Danio rerio: one gene and its partners. The protein of the gene in region 4 interacts with the protein of the main gene of each other region in a pairwise test. Links are inferred from orthologs where the notes say so. Each region holds a gene or a part of one and is shown on either strand. Other genes may lie near its edges. The genes, in order: cdkn1a, iqub, tshz3b, trim54, si:ch73-264p11.1, dtx2 and tcea2.

Region 1 (4,123 bases), on a different chromosome or scaffold from region 4:
GTATGCAAGTATATAAGTGTATATATAAATCTATTGCATCCCTGCAAAAATAAATATATAAATAATTATTCGTGCGGTTTGAAAGAAGGAAAAAAAATGCTTCATTTTCAGTTGAACATTTTCTTATTCCCCCGACATCTGTATAATTTATTTAATTAATAATCTCGCCGCACTATTTTTATATTTATTTATGCAGGAATTTGTGGGTTTTATATGTATTTATTTGCATATTTATTGTTTTATTTCTGCAGGAATTTATGGATTTATTAAGGCCTACTTATGTATTTGTGTATTTATTTATTGTTTTATGTATGAAGGAAATTGTGGATTAATAAATATTTATTCATGTATTTGCATATTTATTCATTTATTGTTTTATTTATGCAAAACTGTGGATTTATTTATTATTTATTTGCATATTTATTTATTAATTTATTTATTTATCTATTGTATGTATATATATATGTATGTATATATATATATTGTTTTATTTATGCAGGAATTTGTAGATTTATTCATGTATTTGCATATTTATTTACTCACTGTTTTATTTATGCAGGAATTTGTGGATTTACTTGTTTATTTATTTGCATATTTATTTGTTTTATTTGTGCACGAATTTGTAGATTTATTAATTTGCGTATTTATTGTTTCATTTATGCAGGAATCTGTGGATTTATACTTTTTTATTTGCGTATTTATTTATTTATAGTTTTTGCAGGCTTCATCCTCCATATCTGTACCATTAAACAAAAATTACGAAACATTGCAGTTTTATAGATACTAATCTTAGGAAACAAATATGTGTGTGTGTGTATGTGTATATATATATTAGTTCAGGAAATCTCACTTTGTTAAAAATTGTGTTCCTGACGTCATACATGCAAGAACAGTGTTTTTTCTCCACGTTTACACACTTTTTTTTTTTTCTTACAAAGGCTGAAAGACCAAAAAACACCAAGCTGTAAATCAGTACATCTGGGTGGGGTTACTATATGCCCAGCAGCTCCTGGAGAAGTACTTCAGAAATGTTTAATATATCTATTAAATATATGTGCTTATTTGAATTGTTAGCGTGATCACTGATTTCTCTATATTTGTTATTGATGAGTAAATAATAGCACAGTCTCGTGTAAAAACAGCGCGTTTTCTGGGCGGCTCCTCGGAAGGTTCTGTTCTTTTCTGTGACGCTGATCTTCTGGAATGTCTCCACGCGCTCACGTGTGGTCATGTGTTTACCGGGCTTCTAGTCCACGTGCAGCGCTCGCAGGCTCCGCCCACCGCCTCGACACGCCCATCGGAGTTCATAAAGTTTGGGAAAGTGTCGTCAGAGGCAGCAGAAAAACTCCAGTGTGCAGATCCTCCAGCTCAGGATTGAGTTTCTCCACACTTCCAGCTTCAGGTGTTCCTCAGCTCCTGTTTTAAACCTGATACTGCTCCTGAGGAGATCTGAAACCCTCACATTCACTCTGACATCAGCGGGTTTACAGTTTCAGCTCTTGCAGAAGCTCAAAACATGTAAGTTGCATGTTTTAAATACTTTTGCACGTTTGTTGTCGGGTATTTGCTTATATATTGCTTTATATATGCTGAAATTGTGTTAATGTGATGCTGTGAGTGCTTTAGTGGAACTTTTCTAAACTTTAGTTTGCTCTGTCAGATAACACTCGACTGAAATAAACACCTCAGACTGACTTTAATCGAGAACTGTGCTGATCGACCGGTGTGAGTTGTGATTGATCGATTGTTATTGTGTTATTGTGAACTCCAAAGTCTCGGTCGTATCAGATCTCGACGTGTTTTCCACCGGCTTACACGAGTTTCAGCTTCACGTGGAGCGCTGGAGTGAGAGGGCGTGTTCTTGTCAGCTTCTGGCCAATCACAGGCGGACTCGGTTTCCCGCTGACTTCTTGAATTTTTTTTTCCTCGAGATGAACGGCACGTTCCATCGCAGAAGCCAATCAGAGTCCAGTGACAGGCGCGTGACGTCACCAATGAAACTTCTTTCTTCATCTAATTTTTTTTTTTTTTTTTTTTATTTTTTAGAAAATAACTTTTTGAAAATTGGGCGGAAAAAACTCTAAAGAGCACGCCACATTACAGAAATATTCAGAACTACCAATGATTTAATACACTGTCAGATTTAGTAAGTGTATTATTTTCTATATATTTTAATCATGACATGCATTATTTCAGTGAATTATGCAGTTTAGTTTGTCAGGGTTGTGGTGTGGTAAGTCTCTTAAAAATCTTAAAGGTCTCCTGGTAAGTCTCTTAAAATTAGAATCAGACTGAACATCTTAGATAAAAAATTTGACCTCTGACCCTCAAGAACATGTTGCCCATTATAATGCACGAGAGTTCATGACGGGTGTATATATATATATATATATATATAATCATATATTTTAGTAAGTAATTTTATTTTGTTGATGATGCATATATTAAATGCACACATACAGTACATACACACCCATATATATATATATAACGCCAACTTTTATGAAGAAAACGTATAATATTGGCATTTTGCTAAGTAAATATGTAGATATCATGTATCTTACAAAGAAAAAACTCAATTTTGTTAAGTTTCATTCATTTAATGCAGATTAAGATGGATTATCATTATAAAATTACACAAAGTTTTGTGTAATTTAAACATTATTAACTTAATTTTTCAACTTTTTTAAATGAATGAAAAGTCAATCAGTTGCCTAATATGGTGATTTTTTAAAAACTATTTACCATAATATTAAGATAAAGGTTAAAAAGGAATTGAATTATAATGAACACTGTCAGTTTTAATGACAGTTCTTAATATTACATTAAGATTCTAGTTTTCAGTTTAAAGGCTTAACCAAGTTACTTTAAGTCATTGGACTACAGTGGTTTGATAATGAAGCTTCACTGCTGGACTAATAATGTAGCTGTTCAGCTGTAGGCGGCGCTGCATGTCTAGCGCTGCTCCCTCTGGCGGCCAGGCGCGCTCACTGCAGCCGCTCGAACATGCCCGAACAAATGCCGGTCCTCTGTGACTCACTGCCCAATATAAAAGCACACCAGCCCGCAGAAACTCTCAGTCATGACAGCTCAGAGGCGCAGAGCTCGCGTGGAGTCAGCAGTAGGATATTTATGCGAATTAACCAGGAAAATGTTTTATTAGCATGCGAAATGTTAAGGTTTTCTGGATTGATCTATATGTTTTTTTGTGTAATACCTTACTGAATTATGATTATGTAGTTGTCTGTAATTACCTATTGATATTTATATTATTATTTATTTTTAAAATATTAGATTATAAAGATTTTTGCATTAGTAGATAAAAAAATATTATTTAATGAAGTGTGTGTGTGTGTGTGTGTGTATACATATATTTATACATTTATTTATTTATTTTTTTTATCTATTAGAATTTTGTAGTCACCATTTGTATTTGTTTTTTTTTATCCCTTTTTGATTGATGTAACTATGTATTTATATAATAATATATATTTCTAGGTCTCTTATAGAATTATGAAGTTGTCTGTTTATGTAATATTGGATTGTTATAATGACACAAAGCTATGGTAAATCTATGCTTGGTGTTGCAAAACCCTATTTTTAGCATGGTCTAACTTCCAAATAGTAAACAGTAAACTTTAGGGCTTAAACATAGGTCTGTATGACTGTGGCTTTATTTTAAAGTACACAAGAAATCCTCTTGTTGTTAGCTCACATTGCTAATTTTGTGATGAACACTTCATCTGTGCATGTTATTAACAAAACAATAGTTTACATTGTAATCCTTAATGTAAATCTGTAAATGAACTTCCTGTTTGTTCAGGTAAATTCTCAGATTGATCTGTCTGAGGTATTGGGTGTGGCTAACATTCTTAACCACACCCCTAAAACTGTCATCGCTATGACAACAAACAAAAATAAGTAGGAGGAGGAGTCTGTTCGGTTGTAATAACTCTCCCCAAACCCTTTTCCCCATCTTTCCCCAATGGAACGCCTACTCTACTACAGCCAATCAGCTAGCAGTAGAAGAAAACAAGCCACGCCCACTGTTTTCATTTAGAATTCAGTTTGTCTAGGAACTGCGTCACAATACGAAAAAAAATGCAGGTTCTGGTTCATGTGG
Region 2 (4,298 bases), on a different chromosome or scaffold from region 4:
AACCACTTACCTGCTTCATCTCTCTGCATCAGCTGCATTGTTTTTTAAATAAATACCCTTAAAAGATAACCTTCCTTGTGTGACCGTGACGAATTGTTAATGTTCAACTTTTTTTCCATCATGAAATGAACCAATGCCATTTCCACCGCATCTCAATATAAAGATTTATCTCAAAATAAAATAAATGATGCCAGTCATATTGTCTAAGATCATTTTTGTATCTAGCTTAACCTATTCTTCCACAATGTATACAATAATTATACATTTGTCAATGGAATAAATTAGTCCCTTAGGAACAAATGCTGAATTGTACAGCTGTCAGACTCTATGATTTAATATTATATTGATAAAGAGCTTATTAACAAATAAATACATTGAATTTGTATATTACAGAGTACAAGCTTATAAATTTTGAATACATTTTTAATGTTTGATAAGAACTTTTAAAAATTGTGTGTGGGGACTGAAATGACAGGGTGTTGTGGAAATGAAAACGAATCAGTGTTAATGTAGAGAAACATTAGACATTAGACAACTTTTAAACTCATTTTACAAAATTACTAAGCATATCCACACATTTTTGCATGAGTAAGGAAGAGCTTCATCTAAAAAACTGATTATCATAACTGTCATAACTGATTATTAAATATTATGTAAATTAATTTGAAAATAAAAGGTATTGCAGATCTACAGAGGTTGGACAATGAAACTGAAAGGCCTGGTTTAATTAATTAGTGGGGCAGCGTGGTGGCGCAGTGGATAGCACTGTCGCATCACAGCAAGTAGATCTCTGGTTTAAGCGTCAGCTGGGTCAGTTGGCATTTCTGTGTGGAGTTTGCATGTTTTCCCCATGTTCGCATGGCCACGTGTGTTTCCTCCGGGTGCTCCGGTGTCCCCCACAGTCCAAAGACATGCACTATAAGGGAATCGGGTAAGCTAAATTGGCTGTAGTGTATGTGTGTGAATGAGGGTGTATGGGTGTTTTCCAGTGATGGGTTGCAGCTAGAAGGGCATCCGCTGCATAAAACCCAAGTTGGCGGTTCATTCCGCTGTGGCGACCCCTGATGAATAAAGGGACTAAGCTAAAAAGAAAATGATTGATGATAACTTGCACAAAATGGTGACTAAAAATAACAGTAATTTATTTAAATGAGGGCGGTTCATTCCGACGTCGGATAAATAAAAGGACTAAGCCGACAAGAAAATGAATGAATGACTATTTGAGTAACTCAACTGTTTGACTTAATGCTTAAATTCATTCTGTCATCAGAACTAGGCTATATTTAGTTTAGTTTTTCAAGGGCATCAGTCGAAGTTAAATTTCTTCGAGTTAAATTACTTCCCGTCTTACTCTTATAATCCTAAACAAAGTGGTTCAGCTAGCATTCAATTACAAACGCTTTGCGAGTCGGTTAGACTGAATCACCAAAAAAGAATCGGCTCAAGCGAATGACTCATTTGTGAATGGACACTCCTAGCGACTGGCGACACTGTGGTTACCATAGCAGCGCCGAAATACAGTGAAGCCAGCGTAAACATAAGATCCACTATTTTATTTAAAACAATAATAAAGATTTCGCCGTCAGATAGCTTTCACAATAAAGAGAGGCAATCGTGTTTTTGCGTATTTTGAGCATTGAGTGACTGCAATGTCAGAAAAGGAATGTGAAACTGTGAACCTTGAAGAGCAAAAAATGTCATCAGAAGCCATTCAAATAGAGACTGAGGAGGCTGATGAAGATCAAGATGTTGAACACACGCAAGAGATCAGTGTGGACGTCATTACAAATCCGGACACACTTTTACTAGAAGAAAACAGCGCTGAACCAACTTCTGAAGACCAAAGACAACAAGACGATATAAACAAACAAGGAAGTGAAAATAAGATCATTTCTTCCAATGATGTTGGAAACTCAACAGCAACGGGTAAATACTAGAATCCATAGTATTGGTATCTAGGTATGACAGTTTTGTAATATAGAAATTTAAAAGAGAAATATAGGGATTTTGTAATGCAAACTAAATAATTTAAATGTTTATTCGAATTAGAAAAAGCTAAATGAAAGGTGAAATTAAGTAATCAAAATACACAAACTCAATCTAAATAAAAAACGTTTGCTTATTTAGTTTCTGCTCATTTGCTTAATTTTTATTAGCATGTATGCATATTTCTATATGCATTAAATAGTATTTTCCCCTACATGGTGTCGTTGTAATGTGTGTGTGTGTGTTTTTTTTTTTTTTTTTTTTTTTTGGTGCACTAATAAAAAACATTTTGTTAAAGCAGAAAAAATATATAAATATTACATGAATATGAAAAGAGAGATTTAAAAATGTTTATGGTAAAGAGTTACTAACTATAGATATATATACACACATAATAATAATAATAATAATAATAATAATAATAATAATAATAATAATGGCTCAGTAGTTAGCACTGTTGCCTCCAAGCAAGAAGGTCGCTGGTTTGAGTTCCGGCTGGAGTTTGCATGTTCTGGTTTCTCCCACAGTCCAAAGACATGCAATAATGGTGAACTGAATAAACGAATTTGGCTGTAGTGTGAATGTGAAAGTGTATGGGTTAATGGTTTATTCTGCTGTGGCTACCCCTGATGAATAAAGGGACTATACCGAAGGTAAATGAATGTATATATATATATATATATATATATATATATATATATATATATATATATATATATATATATATATTAGGGTTGGGCATCTAAGCTATAATGCCGATCCGATACGCATCTCGATACAAAGAATACGATCCGATATATTAGCGATACATTTGTGACATATTGCGATGCAACACGATACGATTCACACCCATATCACGATACGATGCGATATTTCAGCACTAACTTATTAGATCAAGTTTATGAGATGATGTGAAAGAGGATGCTGGTGCCATTGAATGAGTTTGATTATTTATAAACCAAGCAAAACCAAGACTTTTTTTACAAACTGGCTCTTCTCTCAGAGCCAGAGTGTCAGTTTACAGTAGAGGGCCATTTTAGAACCTATAGCACATATTATTTAAGTATTTTCAAGATAAACAGAATGTATAAGTGCAATATATATTAAAAATATATATATATTTGCACTCTTTCAACATAAAGGTTTAGCATTGCACAACAAAAATTGTGATTTAACTTTTCAACTATGAAAACAAGTTTTACAAAGATATTTTGCCACTGATTATTCAAAACTTAAGGTTGTGAACTAGCAGTGTTATGCTGCTTTGAAACATCACTGTCACTGTAAACAACAGGCTGATAAAAATATAACAAACCAGCAATCTTCTTGCTGTGAGGTGGTCAAACTACCCACTGTGCCACCCATTATTTTTATCATTATTATTATTAATATTATTATTATTATAATTAAATAAAAATTAACAGGAGGAGGTGTTTAAAACCTTCGTTCTCCGTGACACTAGGCTGAATATCTTTGCAGATGAACAATGCAATAGCATTCGTTATTGGCGTAGAGCGCACAAAACTGTTGCGCACGGAAAAAAAACTTGCTCTATGTTGCAAAAAACTTGGTTGAAGCAGTGCGAAAGCCGGGGATGCAGGAACACTGAAAGATGCTTTCACAACAACACCGTGGCGCCGCTTCAAGTGAGATTTCAGATTAGTCATACTGCCCGCGTATTTTACAGATGCGCGGCACATTTTGCAAATTGCATCTGTCCTGTCATGTCGTCCATCCTTAAATCCATAATGTTGCTTGCCATACTTTAGATTTAAAACTCAGTGAGGAATAAAATGTTTGTTTATATATATATATATATATATATATATATATATATATATATATATACTAGTGCTGTCAATCGGTTAAAAAAAAATTAACCAATTAATCGCACTTTTTAAAAATTAATCGCGATTAATCGCATTTAAAAGACAAACTTGTAATTTTGGCTATTCGAATGTAAAATTAATGTAAACGCAAGACAAATACTATTTAAATTCAAAATATAATTCATTATTAGAATTTTTGTTTAACTTGTAACACAGATTTCTTCATGTAAACAACATACCCACAATATACTATCAAGATCCTGGCTTGACAGCCATATTTATTACAGAAATAAAAACACGGGCATGTTAATGGCATTTGAATTTCAAAACAATCAATGCCAATAAAAAAAATATTGATTTCCATGTTGGATTTTAAGTGGACTGCAAAAAAAAATGCCAAAATACATGTATTACAAATATGGAAAATGAAAAATAATAATAATAATAAAGTATTGAATAATAACAATTGTACTAATTGCAGGG
Region 3 (3,997 bases), on a different chromosome or scaffold from region 4:
ATATACACATGAGAAACACAGAAAAAATGAAGTGAAATAAAAATGTGACGTACCTTTTCTTCTCTTTGAGTAACTGAGAACAATCACAGTGTTGTCATTTTTGGCAAAATAATAATGCAAAACTTCCTAAATCGATGTAATTTACAATCGAACATTTTGGGGATTTTAGGATAAGCACATAAAAAGGGGGCGGGATACACTGAACTGCGCGCTCACGTTCATATGTGCAGCTGTTCTCTGTTTCACACACACAGAAACGCGCACACACACACTTAGTTATAACTTGTAGTTATTACAAGAAGATTCCATTTTATTATTTGCTAATTGCTTGTATTTATTTGTTTTATTATTTGGATATAGGCCCATGCATCTACACTTCACAAAGTACAAAGCTGAGGAAAAATATTACCTGTCTATGTTATATAGTCTTTAAGACAACGAAAGTCTTTAAGACTTTTAGAGACGTAGTCAACTAAATTCGGAGTTCAAAACAAGATTTAATGATATAGCCTAATTAGGTTTTTTCGTCAGTGGTCACATGCTCATACTAAAACTATCGTTGAAATATGGCCCTAAAAATGAACACAGCAGTCCAGAATAAATTTTATATAAAGCTGTAATTCATAGCAAATAAAATAAACCAGTAAAAGATTTACCCCAACCGTGAAAACTGCAAAAGAGAATTTAAAAAGTAGTGTCAGACTTTTTTAAAGAAAGTAAATAAATAAAGGGTAAATAATTCTTATATGCTAGCTTATGAATATCTGATCCGATTAACGCAAAAACCAATGCGATTTAGCATACTCGTTGGTAAACTATTATAAACGCGTAACATTGTGGCTATAGAAACATTTCTCCGCTAAAGTTTTCAAATCCACTCTCGTGCACATAGACTTGCCACTTAGTTTCCGATTACCCATTAGCGCTATCGTAATTATAAAGCTCATTATTCCTTAAACGAAACAAAATCGCAAAGCCTCCCCCACTCAGCACTGTAATCTTGCTTTATCAGTGGTTTGATGAAGAAGAGAAGCTGCCCGTAGTTAAAGCGACTCCGTGCGGCGTGTGTGTGTCTGTGTGTGTGTGACACTGATGGATGCGCCAATGGTTAGACGGACAGATGCTTGGGCGGATCTAACGGCATGCACACACGAGTGAGTGAGATTGGGCAAAAACATCCCGGATCCTTGAAAGACCGCTCTCTTCCCTTTCAATCTGCCCCTGTGAGCTCGGCGCGCGGACATTCAAGAGGTTCTGGACATTTTTAGGGGGTTTTACTGAACGCTGCGACTTCCCGACTGCCCCCCTTTTCCCGAGGACTCGACGCGGTTCCCTCCGCGGTGAGATGTGAGAGGAGACAGCAGGAGCTCCAGGACAAGACGAGGACTTCAGTGGAGGAGGCAGAGTCTGACAACAACTCACCCTCAGCTAGTAAACAGAGAGGAGTCTCACAGTTCCAATCTCCTCATCCAAAACGGACAACTTCGCCATTTCTCCACTACAAATGACTTTACACTGACTCCAATTTACGCATAAAACTGTCTCTTTCATAACACTTGCTATTTTTTGTCTTAAGTAGATGGACATATTTGAAAAAATGTTGATCTTACCGTCTTAAAAAGTCCATTCTGTGAAGAAAACAACGGATTTTCGAAAGTGACATTAGAGGAGAGAAAGGCGTCTCGGGAGCGAGAGGAAGACGCGTCTGCTTCGCCCGTTGCTGTTTTTAAATACCTGCTACAAGCCCCACAAAGAAGGCTAAAAAAGTGCTATTAGCGGCCAAGAAAGTGTTTGGCAATAGCTCAGTGATCCATGCTCTCGCAGCAGCAGCAGCTGAGGCGCAGCCCGAGTCCATCCCCTCCTTCTGATGTGCGTTATTACAAGCAGGAATACCCAATCAAACACCTATCGCATCGATTCTCTCAGCGGATTCCCAACGCGCGGGGACAAAATAAGCAAACGAGGCAGCGCGCGGGCGACAAGTCCGTCCATCTCCTCCTTCAAGCTTTTTGTCTTTCCCCCGGTTTGTTTATTATGAAAGAGATGGACGTTTGAAAGACGGTGGGCACTTGGAGTCTTTGGGATTTTCACAGAAAGCTATCGGCGACAGCAGCGCTCGTTTTTTTTTTTTTTTTTTTTTTTGTATTTTTGGGGGGGCTTTTCAAATTGTATGCGATTACTCAGAAGGATTCCTCATGGATAACACGTTTATTCGGGCGATCGCGTAAGTAAAGCTTTGATGTTTATGTTTGTAAATCACTGATCACTGCTGCCTGCCTTGCACTGGCTTTACGCTCAAACAAAAAAAACGTTAACTCAGATTGTCGATTTGCTACATGCCTATGTAAGTGTCAATCATTGCATATCTATAGTTGTTGTGTTTGTGAGCTGCTACTTTTACTATTAGAGTGCATTGGGGTTGGCTGCGGTAGGGAGAGAGAGGGGGAGAGGAAGAGAGAGAGAGAGAGAGAGAGACATATGCCTACCCACATGACATGAGCTAGCTAACCCATTCGAGATGGAAGGAGTTAATATGACAGTGCTTGATGTTTGCCTCTGTTTGCAGACTTTGAGTGACGCGATCATTTCGTTTTCCTTTAAGCTTGCCTGTTGCAGCTTCCAGCGCGGAGTGAGTGAGGATCGCACTGAGGCACGAGCGGTTTTTCTCCCCACTGTAGCGGCTCGACTCTCCGTCATATCCAAAAGACGCGCGGGGGGAAAGAGAGAGAGGAAAGAGGGGGAAAATCCCGCTTCGTCTTCATCCTCTTCAGATCTTGCCGTCTGATTTTTTGGTTTGAAAACTGCCGATACATGTCAGGCGTGTGAAAGCGCCCCAGGTGCCGTGTATCAGAGCAGAAGCGGAGCAGCTCTCGGGATCTCAGGGGCTCCTGAAAAAAAAACCCTGAAAGAGAAACATGCCGCGGAGGAAACAGCAAGCGCCCCGGCGCTCGGCAGGTACGGCTCTTCTTCTTCCTCCTCTTCTTCTTCTTCATTTGCTCTTCTTCACCTCTCAGATGTATTTTTTTATTTTTTGCACGATTTTCTTAGTAACGCAGTATGTGTGTGCGCGAGTGTTGTGAATGATTTGAAAATACTACCCACTCCTCCTTTACTTTATCAGATGGGTTTAAACGCCGAAAAACTTTTTCATTTCTTCTTTGTCTTTTTATTATAATTTTAAAAGCCTATGTTTTTTTTTAATTATTTTTATTACATTTGTGTAGGAGATTGTTTAAAGCCACATAGCAGTCAAACGACTGAATAATAGTTGAACTTCATTCAAGAGCACACTTTCACTAGCCTAGTTCTTGTACTTTGGTCAGTCCCCGTGCAGCTGAAGCTGAGTCGACTGTAAGTCTTTTGATTGTTCTCTCTTTTACACCGCTCGCTTTCCTCGTAGGGCGTAGATATTGACTCCATGAATTAGAGATCTATAAAGAAGAGCAGGAAAAAAGGGCTTGGGTGTCAGCTGACTGTCATGACTCCCTTTGATGCTCGTTGTTTTGGGGGCTTTTGTGCGAAAGCAACACATTTGATCTCATTTGACAACTTTATTTATTTTGCTCATTAATTTTCTTCTTTATTATTTCTTCCTCTCCGTTTCTGGGAATGACACTTTAAGATTATTTTGTAGCTGACGCGATGGTCTAAGAAGAGCCTTTAATGGACAATTGCCATCTTTGATTTGAAGGCTGATTGATCGCCTGTCATCCGGATGCTCTTTGATCTATTCATTCCTGATAAACATCAATAAATCACTCGCCATGGCAACGCCACAACCCCGTGACGTCACGTCTGCTTTGACAGCCATCCATTAAAACATCTTTAATTGCTGCATTTCTACTTTTTGTTTCCACATAGGCCATGAACAAGGCCACATTTACTCCTATTGCTTAAAGAGCACCAACATCAGGAACACACACAGAAACACACCGTTTAAAAACAACGATAGTTCTGCTTCATTCTAATGAACTGTCTAAAAATAACAGAATATATA
Region 4 (4,300 bases):
ATAAGCTGCTTATTAACAGTTTGTGAGGTAGTAGTTGGGTTTATGTGTTGAATAGGATAGTGCGTGTAGAATAAGTATTATTAAACAGCCAATATCTTAATAACAGGCAGGTAATAATCCAGTAGTAAATAAATACTTAAACAAAAGTCTTACTAAACCTTCATTTTGCTTTGTTGCTTAACCTCTTTTACATGTGACTAATTAAACTTAATAAAATTCCAATATAATCTAAACTACACTGATATTAATGCATTGCATAGCATTCAATGTATTACTACACTTCAAAAAATGTCTTTTGCTGCTTAAACTACTCTCTTAAAATAAGCTGAAACAACACAATTCTTAAGGGTTTTTTAGGGCACACTTAATATTGGAAAAACTAAGTTAACTTAAGTGAATTGAACAAAAAAATAATATTAAAACAATTAAGTTAACATAAATTATTTGTGTTGAGACAACTTGAGGGAATTGTGTGGAACCCAGCATTTTAACAGTTTATATACTATATTTGTAAACACTGGATTTGCAGGTACAGTGGGGGGAATAAGTATTGAACATGTCACCATTTATAAAACACATAACATGAAATGCATATATAAAAAGAAAACCAACTAAATTAGTTTACAAATTAAGTGTTGTGTAATAAAATGAAATGAGACAGGAAAAAGTATTAAACACATGAAGAAAGAGAGGTGTAGAAAGACAGTGAAAGCCCAGACAGCAGCTGAAATCTCTTAGTAGTTCTTCAGCAACACTCTGCCCTTCATCATTGTAAATGAATATTAGCTGCTTCAGTCCAACATCTACATTATCAGGATGATGAAAATAAAACCACAGTGGACATTTCAGCAAGACAATGATCTAAAACACAGTCAAGGAAACTCTCAAATGCTTTCAGAGATAGGAAATCAAGCTGTAGAATGGCCCAGCCAATCACCTGATTTGAATCCAATATAGAATATGAAATAATGATCAGATTTGATAGACGAGACCTGAGAGCCATCAAGACTTTTACACTGTTGAAGCCAGTGAAAAAAGTCACACCTGAGCAATGCATATGACTTCATTCTCCAAATGAGAGGCGTCTTTAAGCTGCCAAGTCAACAGCACCTTTAGAAATATGTTTTCTGAGAAAAATGTTGACGTGTTACTTATTTCCCCCACTGTATATCCACATAATCTATGTGTTCAGAGCACTTAGGCTTTGTTTTAGGTGGGTTATATCATCGGCGCCAGCTCGGGCTCATGGGCCTGCTTGTCTCACTAGCCTTTGAGTCGCACACACCAGCTGCTTGGTCTGCCATGCCCACTTTCTGCTCAAGTTACCACAGATAACACAACTCTGAGCAATCCGTTCTCCCACCCCTCTCTCTTGCTCTCTCTCTACCCCGGACCCCTCAATGCAGCGCTAACTGGGGTATTCAAAGTGATATTAAGGGGGTGTGCAGTTTGGACAGTAACCCAAGCCAGTACAAACACAGCCCAAATATATCCTCTGCCACTCTACGGTTGGCGATTGATTGGGCATCTGGATGAAGACTGGCACTGCTGGAGAATAACAGAAGGAAAGGAAGTTTAGGATCTTAAGCTATTGACTGAATTTGGTGTCCAAATGAACTTCACTTTGGGCTTCAAACCGTCGATCGGAGATTCCAGCTCAATGGAGAACTTGGAGAGGCAACTGATTTGCCCCATCTGTCTGGAGATATTCAGCAAGCCTGTCGTCATTTTACCCTGCCAGCACAATCTCTGCAGGAAGTGTGCCAATGATGTTTTCCAGGTAATGCTTTATTGCTGTTATTATATAGTGTACGGCCTGTTTTGAACTGTAGTATCTAGAATGCTCATTTAACTTTTGAGAGCTTTTTTGTAATTGTAAAAGCTGGAAGAGGATCTGTGTTTTCAAGCCATCTATTTTCCCTTTAGAATGCCTAATGAGTTTTTAAAATACTGAGTTTGGATTTATAAGTTGAAACTGGTTCAAATGATGCAAAGAGACTTTTTGTTCTTTAATGTAAGGCAAGATGAAGCAAGGCAAACTTTATTTATAGAGCACAATTTTAAGCAACTGTATTTGATCCAAAGTGCTTTGCAATAAAATAAACTAGACAATAAAACTAAAAAACTGGTATTAAATACAAGGAAATGTATATGTTTAAAAGTAATACTAAAATACAAGTTAAAAAAATAATAATAATAATAAATAACATGCATGCATCACTCAAAGGCAAGAGAGTAAAAATAAGTCTTTAAGTTAGATTTAAAAGCATCCAATGAAGGAGAAATCCTGATGTTCAGGGGGGGACTGTTACAGAGCCTTGGGGACACAGAAAGCTCGATCACCTTTTGGTTTGAAGCAAGACCGAGGGACAAAAAAAAAAATTTGGTCATGGAATCTTAACGGTCTACAAGCTGAATAAGGCCTAATAAGTTCACTGACATAGACCGGGGCAGAATAGTGCACTGCTTTATAAGTGAAATGAAGAATTTTAAAATCAACTCTGTATTTTATAGGTAGCCAGTGCAATGAGGCAAGGACAGGGAAGATATGATCTCTTTTCTTAGTTCCTGTTATTAATATAGCGGCTGCAATGTACGCCCCCCACCCCCCAAAAAATCGTAAATTAGCAGTTTTTTGTATGATTCACCCCCTAAACCCCTCACCCCTTCCCCCAACAGAAAAATAGTACTTTAATATATTTTCAGAATTTAAAAAAAAAAAGTTACTTTCAATTTCAAATGTATTTGCTGTATTTTAGATCAAATATATGCAGACTTGGTAAGTGAATAATCTTCTTTCAAAAAACAATACAATTATTTCACCGAACACAATAAGAACGCAATTTCAACATTTTGTGATAACATACCCAAATGATTAAAATACATTTGATTTATTTTAAAAATCATGGTAATTATTATATTTTAAATGTATTTTTAAAATGTAATAACATTATTATACACTGTAAAATTATTTTGTAAACTAGCAGTTTTTGTGATTCACGTTGTTTATTGATGCTTTTATTTATTTGTTCGTTTAATTTTGTTGTTTGTTTTTGTGGAGTTTTCAAAAAAAAAAAAAAAAAACCTCAATATCAATGTTACAATTTTTTTTTTAAACAATAGCTCAGGGTAAACAAGAACATTCAAAAGCCCTCAGTCCCCCATCCCACCCCAAAGGAGGAGATTAAAAAACGCACACAACAACATAAGCACCTACAAGAATTGCAACTAAATAAATATACATAAAATATAAATAACACACACAAACATTAATAAAAAGGGCAGAGATCTTTCTTGAAAAAAAAAATCATATAAATCAGTGAAGAGATGTGTTGTATTCCTGACAAAATTAATTACAAAAGTTTATTTATGCTTTTGAATTACATTATCGGACCTTGATCTTTCTTCCAATAACATATAACCTTGAAAAGTTTAAAAATGTGCCGTTTATGAACCTTTTTTATACTTTAAAGTGATATGTTGTCTGGGTTGGTGCTCTATACGGTACCGAATTGTGTGAAACCTAGCATTTTTTTTTACACTTTGGCATGTTCAAGTGTGTTCAGTTAGTGTTGGAGCAAAACTCTGCAGGGACACCAGCCCTCCAAGATCGAGTTTGTCCATCCCTTAACTAATTGATCAGATATTAAAATGTTTTAAGTTATATTGTTAATGATGTTGTACAGTATTCCCTTAGCTGAGGCCTAATATGAAACCAGAACTCAAAGTACCATAGCATCTGTCATACAGAGATTAATGATCCATTTAGGCTTTCTTTTTTGTGCCAATCTCTTTTACTTTGCTCCTTTTGGCATTAGTTTATTCATCTCATCATCAAGACAAGTTCATCCTTTAGCAGTCATTATTAGTGTTGTTTCTTCTCTCTCTGCGAAGTGAGTGCCATTAGGTCAGACTTCAACATGACTGAGTGCTTCTAATTATACTTTTAACAGTTATAAAAGATATCTGATGGGAACATTACACATTTTTTTGGGCAAATAGATTGATTCTGGCTGGAAGTGCATTCACAGCGTAAAACATATGCTAGAATAGTTGGCGGTTCATTCTGTTGTGGTTACCCCGGATAAATAAGGAACTCAGCTGAAGGAAAATTAATGAATAATACAATAATAATAACACATTTAATTTACAAAGCTCCTTTAAAAGTTACTTTTTTAAAGTGCTTTGCCTACAAACCTCATTTATTAAAGGGAACAACAGTAAAAGATCAAAACAGATTATTGAAAACATGTTAATTAAAAGCAGTCCTAGACAATTCATCATTATATATACTCCAGAC
Region 5 (3,957 bases), on a different chromosome or scaffold from region 4:
CTAATGGTGGCATTATTCTTTTAATATTCAGCTTCACCGCCGCCTTAATGCCAGATTGTGAAGAGAAGTGGAGAAACAACTTGCACAGCCTTTATCTTAATTTCGTTATTGCCAAAATACCCGTCATCATTTAGAGTTTATTTTAATTTGATTTGTTAAGCAAGATTACTTTTCATTGGTGTGTTGGATAATTTAAAGGCTAAGTGCATGTACCTAGACCAGAGCGCTGAGATGTTACGATGTTACAGCTGTAGGACTTATTTTATTTCTTTGTTCCAACTTTCAAGTGGCCTATAGTCTACGCTTGTTACGAATAAATGATGTTAAAACATATAAATGACTCATTCTTAAAAAAATGCATTAGAGCTGTGTGCATGAGCACATTTTAATGTAGGCTGTGAACGGGTTTGGGCTGTATAAAGCTGTCAGTCAAAATGTACCTGTCGGACTCGGGACCTATCGGGTATAACTGCTGTTCCGCGGGAGCCGGCCAGATTTCTTACGGTGTGGGAGTAAATTTCTGAATAAATCGCGGGAGAGATGTGTGTGTGTGTGTGTGTGTGTGTATTAATATTAACTAATACTTTTGTTCCAATATAAATGTTATACTCACAATACTTTAGATAATGTTAACAAGCTCAAATTAAATGGATTACTAAATGTTGAACTATTATTAATAAATACATTATTGTGTTAGTAAATAAACCCAAGTCACATTTTACTAGCATTTCTTATCACATTTCAACCAGTAAACAATATCAACTGCCAACATTGAACATACAACTGTTAATTGTTGATATAAAAAAATATTTAATTTAAGAATTTTATATAAAGAATACTTTTTGATGTTAACAATTAAATAGTTGATATCAACAATTCAGTTATTTCAAACGAAAGAAATATAATGAATGCTGAATGTTGAAATCAATAAAGCATATCCTAAGAATAAGTCAAAACGGCTTTCCACAGAGAGCCATAATAATATCAACAACATTTATTATTTTAAGTTTTGTTGTGTAGTTTCAGGTTAATTTACCTCGATAGTACGCTGAGATGTTCAAATGATTCAAATGTCGCGGGTGGTGGGATGGTCTCTATGGTTTCAGCAAACAGTCATCTTAACTCCGCCTAAGATCCGCCTCTGCCCATTTTCGAGTATCCGGGAATGACGCACTTCCAAGATGGCGACGGCTGACCACGCCTACAGTAAGCTTCATTTGCGCTCTTCAGAAACCTATGGGTGACGTCACGGACACTACGTCCATATTTTTTACAGTCTATGGTTGTAATGCGATTACAACACATGCAATAAATAGACTTAGGCATTCATTTAGTTGTTCAAGTGTAAAACGAGATGAAAGACCTTTGTAATTACTAGCGCCATCAGTAGCAACAGGCTATTGCAGAAATTCCATTGAAAAATACTGGGGTAAAATATTCTGTCATATTTTAAAGACATGGCGGGGGGAAATGTAATTTAATGCAGTGCTAGTCCGATCTGAGACCCACTTTATAGCCTATCGTATATCTGACATTCAGTGAAGATCGCTGATTTTTAAAGCAATCAGACCTTAAACGTGACAATTTTGTAATGAAAGACTGTCTTGCTAAAAATTAAAAGACTGTGTGCATATAGCCTATTGAGTTCGCCCAATTTTGAAAATGAGTATTTTTTATCCTTTTCCCAGTAAATATAGTCAATGTATTTTGGTGCATTTAAGCAAAACAGATTTATTAAATATATATTTATTAAAATAATATTTAGTCACTAAACATATTTAGTGATATTTTACATATTTGTAAGTTATTTTGTTAGATAAGCTCTAGGTTTGGCTTCAGTACTGACCAATCTAATGTATATGCACAAATATAACATTGTATAGCTTCCTATTAAAAATATGAATTTAATAGATTTGTGAGGGTGCACTATATGCTATAGGTTGTGAGTTTTTAAATAATCTTTTTAAACCTGTTAAAGTTCTAAATTTACGGAACATGTGTAAAAGACGGCCACTAATTATGAAAAATGATATAGGCTAGGTTAAGATAAATATATATATATATATATCGCACGGTTACTGCTTTTGGTACATCTACACTTCCTTTGACCACTACGCACTCTAACCCACTTCCTATGAGCTGGTTCGTGTCTGTCTGCATGATATGCATGCCCTTTGATGGAAAGCGTGCATCACGCACATTCATCGTTTCTGAGTGTAGGCATTAAGGAAGATTCCCTCCGCAAAGATAACAAGTGGACTTGTGACGGAAACATCTGATCTCTTGGTGTAAACAGCAGTTGACCTGCTCTACCCGCTCCTCACACGTGCGATGTGAAGCATGGACCATCCATCGTATCATGGCGCGATCACCAAACAGAGATGCGAGGAGCTGCTCGGCAACAAAGGGCGGGATGGGACTTACCTCATTCGGGACAGCGAGACCATTCAGGGAGCTATGTGCCTATGTGTGTAGTGAGTATCTTTTGGTATTCATGTTTTTAGTCATTGACTGAGCAGAGCTAATTCGTTGTAAATGTCTTGCTTTCTCAGTTATACCAACGTGTAAAGGTATTTATTCAATTACCAGATGAATGAATGGAGACTGGATTACAGTACTTAAAGGGATAGTTCGTCCAAAAAATGAATAATTCCTCGCAATTTTCTCAGACTCATTTGGTTCTAAACTTATGTGAGTTTGTTTTTGTTAAACACAAAGCAATATTTCGAAAAATGTTGTAAACCAGCAGACATTAAGTCCATAGAGGGAAGAAATAATACCATTCAAGTCAACAGCTCCTGCTTTACGTCGTCCTTCCTTCTATTTTCTTTTATGTTCGACAGGAGAAAGAAACTCAAACATGTTTGAAACAAATTGAAGATGAGTAAATGATGACAGAATTTTTGGGTGAGCTAACTTTAAGCTATCTCTTTAAGTTGAGCCACCCCCTAGTAAAGTTTGACAGGTATTGACAGCTACATTGACAGTTGTGATAATGTTTTGTTATATTCATTAATTGGACATGTTTTTACTTTAAAAACAGGGAAAAGGCAGAAACATTGGCATTTTTAGGGCTGCACAATATGCTGAGCCACCCCCTAGTAAAGTTTGACAGGTATTGACAGCTACATTGACGGCTATAATAATATTGTGCATATTGCACATGTACATCAGTTTCTTGCTTTGCTTGCTACTATCATAAAAACATACTTAAATTATGAAAATATAAATTTAAGACATTTTCCACACCGCTTTTTTTTGTTTGGGTTTATATGTTGACATCAAATAATGAAATGTAATAAAGGAGTAAACAAGCTAAAACATCAATATAAGTTTTACTACAGCCATTTTATAGCAGGTCAAATGTGAAACTTTGATTTTGACCAGTCTTAAAAAATTATTAATGACATTTTAAAAAAAGTGTTGCGTGATTTTTGTCACTTAGTGCAATAATGTTATGTTATATTCATTAAGTGGACATGTTTTTACTTTAAAAAGTACAGGCAGGAAAATTGGTATATTTAGGGTTGCACAATATCCGTTTAACTGGCTGCTCTACCAAATGGTTGACCATATTTTAAATACTGACTTTTAAGTCATCTAAAGAATGACTGTTTTAAATAATAGTTTACACAGCATTGTTGATTTACAAAAAAACTAAACAAATATAATCCTGTTACACTACTACAGTTGATTTTGGTTTTATTGTAAAAAAAAAAACAAGAAAACATGTTTAATAAGAATCTGAAATATTTCATGACACACTTCAAAAAATAAAAAATGATTTACTGTTCAAAAATGTTTTATTATGATTATGTTTTTAAATTAACTTACACTTCAGATTTTCACATTTTTTATAGTATATGTATTAATTCTGGTACTTTACACATAAACTGACAAATTAACCAATTTGGTAGGGGTTGATAATTTAGAAATTATGGAATGTGTTGAAAACAA
Region 6 (3,352 bases), on a different chromosome or scaffold from region 4:
AGTGCAGAAATTTACCGTAAAATAACAGACGTCAAATTACAGACATTTACCATAAAATAACAGCCGTTAAATTACAGAAATTTACTGTACAATAGCAGACGTTAAATGAAAGAAATTTACTGTAAAATAGCAGATGTCAAATTATAGAAATTTACCACAAAATAGCAGATGTTAAATTACAGATATTTACTGTAAAATAACAGCTGTTAAATGACAGAAATTTACGTAAAATAGCATACGTTAAATTACAGAAATTTACCACAAAATAGCAGATGTTAAATTACAGATATTTAGCTTAAAATAGCAGCCGTTAAATGACAGAAATTTACCGTAAAATAACAGACGTTAAATGACAGAAATTTAATGGAAATTTCTGTAATTTAATGTCTGTTATTTTACTTTTTTTTTCCAGCATCCCAGCTGCCGGTGAAAAAAAACATTAGAAAACTGATTTTTTTTACAGTATGTATACTTATTAACAAGTAACAGAAACAAAGAGGTGCTGTTAAATGGAGTAGTGTTTATTGCTGATTAGAAGTTGAATATATATTTATATATACAGTTGCATACATTGTAAAACCAAAGATCCCATACCGTGGAATATGAGATGAAGGAATGAATGGATGTTTCCACACTAGCTGTTTGGTAATGAACTGTAATTTTATCAAACACTGCTGATTGTCTCTGTGGCACAATGTAATACTGCAACTCAATAATAACGCTGCGAGACTGCATTTTTTACGTGTACTTTCAAGGTCCCGTTCGTAATAAAATCAGCACTGATTTACTTGATGTACTTATGAATAAAACCAGCACTAGCAGTATTGCCAAGCTTGGATTTTGAAATCGATAAAATGAACGTAAATTCAAAGTTGCAATATTTTGTGGAATCAATGAAAACAAACAAGTCCCTTATGTTTATTAATTAAAAGAATAGCAGCAAGTGAGAAATCACCAAATCTGACATCTGAAAAAAAAAATTAAATATGAACTAAATTAGCTGCAGATTCTGTAAAAGTGCCTTTTATTTCTGAAGCGGTACGTTTTACAACACTAGTAAAGATTTATGATTTGCACTGATGTGCAATTTTATGTTTTTGTATATTACTGCTTTAAAAAGTGATAGTTCATCCAAAATTAAATTGTACTGTTAATTTACTCACCCTCTTATCATCTATGATGTTTTTTCCAGTGGTCCTTGATGAGTCATATGATGCATGTCAAAAAATATCAGCACTTTGGGAGTGTAAAATAAAATAAAAGTAAACATACAGACAAAACAAAATGAATACATATGGCTCCTGGAGATACAAGAGGTCTTGTAAAGCAAACTGACTGGCCTGTGAAAGAAACTGAACATTATTTATAGCATAACATTACTGGAGTATAAACGCCCTGTTGCATAATGACTTCTATTAAACATTAAAGAAACACTCCCCTTTTACTTTTAAAAGTACCATAGAGTTTTACCATATTTTAATCCATCCAGTCGATTGCCGGGGTCTGGCGAGAGCACATTCAGCTTAGCTTAGCATAATTAACTGAATCGGATTAGACCATTAGCATCTCAAAATTTTCAAAAGACAGTTTCATTAATTTTCCTATTTAAAGCTTGACTATTCTCTGTCTACATTGTGTACTAAGAGTGATGGAAAATTTAAATATGGCTATATGATATTTCTACACTCTCATTCTTGAATAATAATCAAAGAACTTTGATGCCGTACCATGGCTGCGACAGGCACAATAATATTATGCAGCACTTAAATAAAAACTACAGAACTTTCAAGCTTTACATAGCAAAACTATCAAAACTTTTTTTTGCTAATTTTGGTAATTTTTTTGAGCAAGATGCTAATGGTCTAATCCGATTCAATAAACTGTGCTAAGCTAAGCTTAAACATTAAGTTAAGCTTTCAACAGACCTGGAGATTAGTTCAATTGGATTCAAAAACTGAAAAGTTTACCAATAGGTGATTTGTAAAGTGAGGCAATTAAAAATTTGTAAAATGAGCCTATTAAAAGCCTATAAACTAACCTGTAAAACGAGCCTTCATTAAAAGTATTCTTTAAAAATGTTTACATTTTGCTTAACAAAATGCCATAATCCATTGTTCTCTTGATCTTTGGGAACCATTCGGCTCTGGATAATAGGTAATAATGTAGTAATTAATGTTCAATTTCATCATTTCTTTTCATAAGACCTCAATGTAGCAACAAGAGCAAACGTCCTTTTGTTTTGCCTGTACATGCATTGAAATTTTAGCTAAAAAATAGTCATTAAATGTTCTATTAAAGCCCAAAAAAAGTCTTGGATGGCCAACAGCTTTTAAAAAAGCTAATGTCATATGCGGTTGAGCTTTCCCTTTAACGAAATAGTGTCAGCTTGATTCCCAGCAACAGTACAATGATCTCTGCTCTACTGTAATGTAGTATTTGAGGAAGGACGTCACAGCTCTGTATATTGAGATGAATGCCTAAACTGGCGATAGAGGTCATTAAACCCCGAGTCGTTCCTGCAGAACCGTCAGTAGCTGCCTCACAATACGCTGAAACTAAAGATGACCACGAAGCCCACATGTGCGTTAATATTCTAGACTCGGCCGTACGCGTGGAAATGGATGAGTTGGTATCAACATCCAAATCTCTTGGTGAACAGCGGACACTCTAGTTTTGTTTTCTTCCCTTTTCGTCAAGTTAGATCTACCGTAGCCGGTTATTCACATGGCAGAACCTTGAGCGTCTCGTTTGAGGCAGTCTTCGGTTACGCCCTGCGATGCCAGTTCTGAGAGCACATTGTCCAGGTAGTTTGGGTCAGGATACCCATGGCCAGACACATTAGACATCATCTCAGTCTTGTGGTGGATCTCGTTCCATATGACGGTGTCGGGCTCGCCTGTGGTGCTGGAAGTGCCCACGGTGAAGATGAGACGGCGTGTCCATGCTACTTTCAGCAGCTCCAGCACCTGCAGATGGTAAACATGAACGTAATAAACAGCCTCAGTTTAAGGAGTTAGTTCACCCAACAAAGACAATTCTGTTATTGATGTTATTTTAATCCCCTGAGAGCTTCCTTCATCTTCACAACACAAATTGAAATATTTTAGACCAGTGTTTCTCAACCACGTTCCTGGAGGACCACCGGCTCTGTGCATTTTCCATGTCTCTTTAACCAAACACACCTTATTCCGATCATCAGCTCATTAGCAGAGACTAAAAGACCAGTAATGGGTGCGACAGACAAAGGAGACAACCAAAACATGCAGTGTTGGTGATCCTCCAGGAACGTGGTTGAGAAACACTGTTTTGGATGAAATCTGAGAGCTCTTTGGTCCTCCATTGATAGTTTTGA
Region 7 (4,002 bases), on a different chromosome or scaffold from region 4:
TGATATCGAAAGACAAAGCCAGAGCTCTGGGGTATTTCCTTCTGAACACTGATGATCTGTTGTGCTTTAATTTCTCCTCAGGGACCAATAAGGGCTGTTTGTCTGCACATTACCTCCATCCATATTGACTAAATCCATCTCAGGGGTATTACAATAAAAAAAAATAAATAAATAAAATATTAAACAGAAAATATTTTGCTCATCATCTAAAACGAACTCTAACTGAAATTAGTAAATATTATAAAATTAAATGCTTATAAAATTCAATTCAGGTTTATTTCTATAGCACTTTTTACGAAGTAGATTGTGTTAAAGCCCCTTAACAAAGTTCTAGAAAATAGAATTTGTATGAGTCCAGATGTCAAAGTTGAAGTTCAGTTTAGTGTGGATAAATTTTCACTACTGAAAGTTCAAACACTGAAGAGCAAATCCATCGATGCGCAGCTCCACAAGTCCCAACCAAGCAAGACAGTGGAGATAATGCATTATATTTATGTTTTCAGTTATTTCTCACATTCATTTGCTTAAATTACCTAAACCAAAGTAAAAAACACTGACTGTTTATGCAATTTAGTAATGTAGGGTGAAATAAATAACTAAATAAAATTGAAGTAAATAAACTGTGCCTTTTGTGCATCATTTTGGCATTTTGTAACATTGGCAATATGATTAAATCATAAATCAAAAAATAAACACGAATGATACTAAATTAAATTCAACGAACAAACTGGAATTGAAAGCACATCGTAGTTTAATTCATGAAAGTTGCTCTGTTGTGTGCTTTTTATCAAATTCAAGCAAAAAAATGGTCTTGAATGCATTTGTGGTCTTCTAGATTTATAGTTTCTGCCATTTAAAAGAAAGAAAGAAAGAAAGAAAGAAAGAAAGAAAAAGAAATTAGCACTTCTGAGATCAGTCAGCAGGGTTCATTAGGTGTGAATTGCTATTTTTTACGTACTCATCCGAAAAATTGTCAAACGCCATGACATTATAGATCATTTTGAGACATGCAAACAAAAACAATGGTCCCAGCGTATTTTTCTGTTTTACATTTTATAATTTCTAAAGCTTTCGAGAATCTAAAGAGAGCCACACAATGATAAAAGTACTCAATAGTGAGAATTGAGTATTACTCTGTGAAAAGCTGATGCGTGTACATGCAATTTGTGTGTGTGTGTGTAAACGTAACATTCTGTAGTGCATTTAGTGATTGTTTAAGTCCATTTGACAATTTCATCATACAGTAAACACCCTTCATCTTCTTATCAGTGACATAGTTTAAAAAGCCTCTGGCTCATTGCGTGTAAAGATTTTTGACATCTTCTTGGACAATTGCAATACTTTTACAATGGTTTGCTGCATGTATAAAGCATCCATGTATTGAGGTTGTTCAATATGATGCAATTGAGTTTTCTCTGTGCGATTTGATTTGGACAGGAATCGCTGGATAGATTTTTTACTAAGCCAATCCCCGTACACAAGAAAAAAACAAATAGTGACTGCAGGTTGAAGGAAAGTAGTGGAGTAAAAGTACAGATACTGCTGTAAAAATGTACTCTAGGGGAAGTACACATTTTTAAAACTACTTCGTAAATTACAATTCCTGAGAAAAAAAAACTACTCAGTTTTAGTAATCGGAGTATTTGTAATTTGTTATTTTACACCACTGCTGTTGTTACAGTAATGAAATAGTTTGATAACAAGCAGAAAATGTTCACTGGGCCAATGACATGACAACATTGAATTCGTCTATAGAGTTGATTACATTTTCATGACTGGATTGTGAGAATTTGATTGAGATTTCAACGTCCTCTCCTATATTCGGGATTGGCTCATAGTAATTTATTCAGATATTTTCTGCTGAAATTCCAACAGTACTAACAGTATGCCAATGAGAACACTAGCATGGGATTCCCTGACAGAAAGAAAAAGAGTTGATTATATAATCTAGCACAGCACACACTCGTTCCAGAGATGCCTTCTGCAGTCTATGTAGATACCTGTAGGGTCTCCAAAGACATTTTCATGTTCTTCAGCTCCTGAAGCAAGTCAATGGCACCATCCTGAACATAAAAACACAAGGAGGTGAGAAACAAACAAAATTGGTAAACAGTCACTACAACAACTTCTTAAATGCGTCAGTAAACACTAGCTTCTTCAACTATAGCTTGGTTTACACAAAAACACAGGCAGATACTATGTTTTGGGGACGAAACTGGGGCTGACTTGTGTGAAGTACTAGATAAATGAGTCTTTTGTTTGCGCTGGAGAAATTTGGAGAACAACCAGCTGCCAGCTCATCACAGCACACAAACGCTTCAAACATGAGAGTACAAAACGAACGAGTGATTGTCAATGGAGACTGACCAATAAGAGCACACCGGGCGGTAGTCTGGAATAGGATGAAACAGGTGATAATCACACACACACCAACTAGTCTCCTGCTGGTTTAACGGATACAAACATGAACGAACGAACGTCGAATAAACAATGTTCTCCTGCCTGTTTTATTATTATCAGATGCTACAGAAAAAAATGTGTGTCACTTACGGTGTTTTTTTTGTGCACCATTTTGTCCAGCTTCTTGGCGATGCGCTCCACTTCTTGGTCCTTCACCATGTTTGCAGGTTTAGGGCTGTTTGATGGCGCCCGGTGGCCAAGCCTCCATTTACGTGTGAAAATGCGCCCGTCTCTCTCTCTGTGTGTCTCTCTTTTAGTGGCAGAATGAGAGGAATCCACTGCCTTTCACTTCGCTCTCGTCTGTTGTTGCATGGTTGATTCGCGAGCGAGTCGTTCTTATGAGTCGAATCATTTTAAAGAATCACTTGAATTCGAACGATTCGTTTACGAACGAGATTGAATCAGTGACTGTGCTTCTCGACACAACAACTCACCAATTGTTTGGAAAATCATTCAAGAACATCGTCTTTTCTGGCCATTTTATTTCGTAATGACACAAGAGTATCATTTTAAGTGACCAAAATGGAGTGAAAGGTAAGTTATTAATGTACTTTACTGGCTATATGGTTCTGTGGGAATTGTCAACACAAAAGTCAAAAAAGTTTCAGGATATGTCCAATGCTTGTGAGCCACTAACTAACTAGGTCAATGTGAATTAAAATAAACACGTTTGATAGTAAAAAAAAAAGGTTAACTATTGCAGTATTGATTTTCTAAGCCTATTTTATGCCACAAAGAGATGTCATTTGGTCACGTGATGACATAAACAAAAATCATCCCTGAATTGTTCATTGAGTGGTGTTTGAAAGAATCGATTCGCGAAAATGAGCTGCACTGCACATAGTTTCTGTTTCGAAGCAGGGTGTTGTGGGGAGTGGAGTTTATTCACCACAGAAGCAAGCAGCCAGTTTGGTGTAAAAAAAACAAAAACAAAACAATAACAACTTTAGGTTATTAAGGAGACAATGCAGTCCTAACACGGATTAAAGAGTTTTTAAATTATTTGACAACTGCAATCGTCATACTCCAAAATTATATTCATCATCCAAAAAGGGTTTAGGCTATATTATATTTTATTATAATATATTATTCATTTATTTATTCATTTTCTTGTCGGCTTAGTCCCTGTATTAATCCGGGGTCGACACAGCGGAATGAACCGCCAACTTATCCAGCAAGTTTTTACGCAGCTGATGCCCTTCCAGCCGCAACCCATCTCTGGGAAACATCCACACACACACACACACACACACACACTCATACGCTTCAGACAATTTAACCTACCCAATTCACCTGTACCTCATGTCTTTGGACTGTGGGGGAAACCGGAGCACCCGGAGGAAACCCACACGAAGGCAGGGAGAACATGCAAACTCCACACAGAAACGCCAATTGAGCCGAGGTTCAAACCCGCGACCCAGCGACCTTCTTGCTGTGAGACGACAGCACTACCTACTGCGCCACTACCTCGCCTTATATTATATATAGTTAATCTGGGGATGCCACTGCGGAATGAACCGCCAACTTATCCAGCATTTGTTT

The links.
Region 1: the proteins of trim54 (region 4) and cdkn1a interact in binary tests that used the Homo sapiens proteins (3 or more experiments, as listed by UniProt). The two-hybrid records come from large-scale screens. The link is inferred for Danio rerio from reciprocal best matches to the Homo sapiens genes TRIM54 and CDKN1A.
Region 2: the proteins of trim54 (region 4) and iqub interact in binary tests that used the Homo sapiens proteins (3 or more experiments, as listed by UniProt). The link is inferred for Danio rerio from reciprocal best matches to the Homo sapiens genes TRIM54 and IQUB.
Region 3: the proteins of trim54 (region 4) and tshz3b interact in binary tests that used the Homo sapiens proteins (3 or more experiments, as listed by UniProt). The two-hybrid records come from large-scale screens. The link is inferred for Danio rerio from reciprocal best matches to the Homo sapiens genes TRIM54 and TSHZ3.
Region 5: the proteins of trim54 (region 4) and si:ch73-264p11.1 interact in binary tests that used the Homo sapiens proteins (3 or more experiments, as listed by UniProt). The two-hybrid records come from large-scale screens. The link is inferred for Danio rerio from reciprocal best matches to the Homo sapiens genes TRIM54 and SH2D1B.
Region 6: the proteins of trim54 (region 4) and dtx2 interact in binary tests that used the Homo sapiens proteins (3 or more experiments, as listed by UniProt). The two-hybrid records come from large-scale screens. The link is inferred for Danio rerio from reciprocal best matches to the Homo sapiens genes TRIM54 and DTX2.
Region 7: the proteins of trim54 (region 4) and tcea2 interact in binary tests that used the Homo sapiens proteins (3 or more experiments, as listed by UniProt). The two-hybrid records come from large-scale screens. The link is inferred for Danio rerio from reciprocal best matches to the Homo sapiens genes TRIM54 and TCEA2.

The regions. Positions count from the first base shown.
Region 1 is NC_133197.1:623,148-627,270, reverse strand, and holds the start of cdkn1a (cyclin-dependent kinase inhibitor 1), read left to right. Parts: upstream 1-1,323; 5' UTR 1,324-1,518; intron 1,519-3,078; exon of another isoform or gene 3,079-3,082; coding exon of another isoform or gene 3,083-3,121; intron 3,122-4,123. UniProt on the Homo sapiens protein: Plays an important role in controlling cell cycle progression and DNA damage-induced G2 arrest. Involved in p53/TP53 mediated inhibition of cellular proliferation in response to DNA damage.
Region 2 is NC_133200.1:30,219,505-30,223,802, forward strand, and holds the start of iqub (IQ motif and ubiquitin-like domain-containing protein), read left to right. Parts: upstream 1-1,498; 5' UTR 1,499-1,649; coding exon 1,650-1,926; intron 1,927-4,298. UniProt on the Homo sapiens protein: Adapter protein that anchors the radial spoke 1 (RS1) complex to the A microtubule of outer doublet microtubules in axonemes. The triple radial spokes (RS1, RS2 and RS3) are required to modulate beating of the sperm flagellum.
Region 3 is NC_133182.1:48,576,844-48,580,840, reverse strand, and holds the start of tshz3b (teashirt homolog 3b), read left to right. Parts: upstream 1-1,197; 5' UTR 1,198-2,224; intron 2,225-2,566; 5' UTR 2,567-2,915; coding exon 2,916-2,955; intron 2,956-3,997. UniProt on the Homo sapiens protein: Transcriptional regulator involved in developmental processes. Functions in association with APBB1, SET and HDAC factors as a transcriptional repressor, that inhibits the expression of CASP4.
Region 4 is NC_133195.1:42,036,189-42,040,488, reverse strand, and holds the start of trim54 (tripartite motif-containing protein 54), read left to right. Parts: upstream 1-1,500; 5' UTR 1,501-1,612; coding exon 1,613-1,780; intron 1,781-4,300. UniProt on the Homo sapiens protein: May bind and stabilize microtubules during myotubes formation.
Region 5 is NC_133199.1:29,156,836-29,160,792, forward strand, and holds the start of si:ch73-264p11.1 (uncharacterized protein), read left to right. Parts: upstream 1-1,157; 5' UTR 1,158-1,206; intron 1,207-2,079; exon of another isoform or gene 2,080-2,220; 5' UTR 2,221-2,340; coding exon 2,341-2,474; intron 2,475-3,957. UniProt on the Homo sapiens protein: Cytoplasmic adapter regulating receptors of the signaling lymphocytic activation molecule (SLAM) family such as CD84, SLAMF1, LY9 and CD244. In SLAM signaling seems to cooperate with SH2D1A/SAP.
Region 6 is NC_133180.1:65,451,274-65,454,625, reverse strand, and holds the end of dtx2 (probable E3 ubiquitin-protein ligase DTX2), read right to left. Parts: intron 2,967-3,352; coding exon 2,721-2,966; 3' UTR 501-2,720; downstream 1-500. UniProt on the Homo sapiens protein: Regulator of Notch signaling, a signaling pathway involved in cell-cell communications that regulates a broad spectrum of cell-fate determinations.
Region 7 is NC_133198.1:8,860,857-8,864,858, forward strand, and holds the start of tcea2 (transcription elongation factor A protein 2), read right to left. Parts: upstream 2,801-4,002; 5' UTR 2,620-2,800; coding exon 2,551-2,619; intron 2,064-2,550; coding exon 2,001-2,063; intron 1-2,000. UniProt on the Homo sapiens protein: Necessary for efficient RNA polymerase II transcription elongation past template-encoded arresting sites.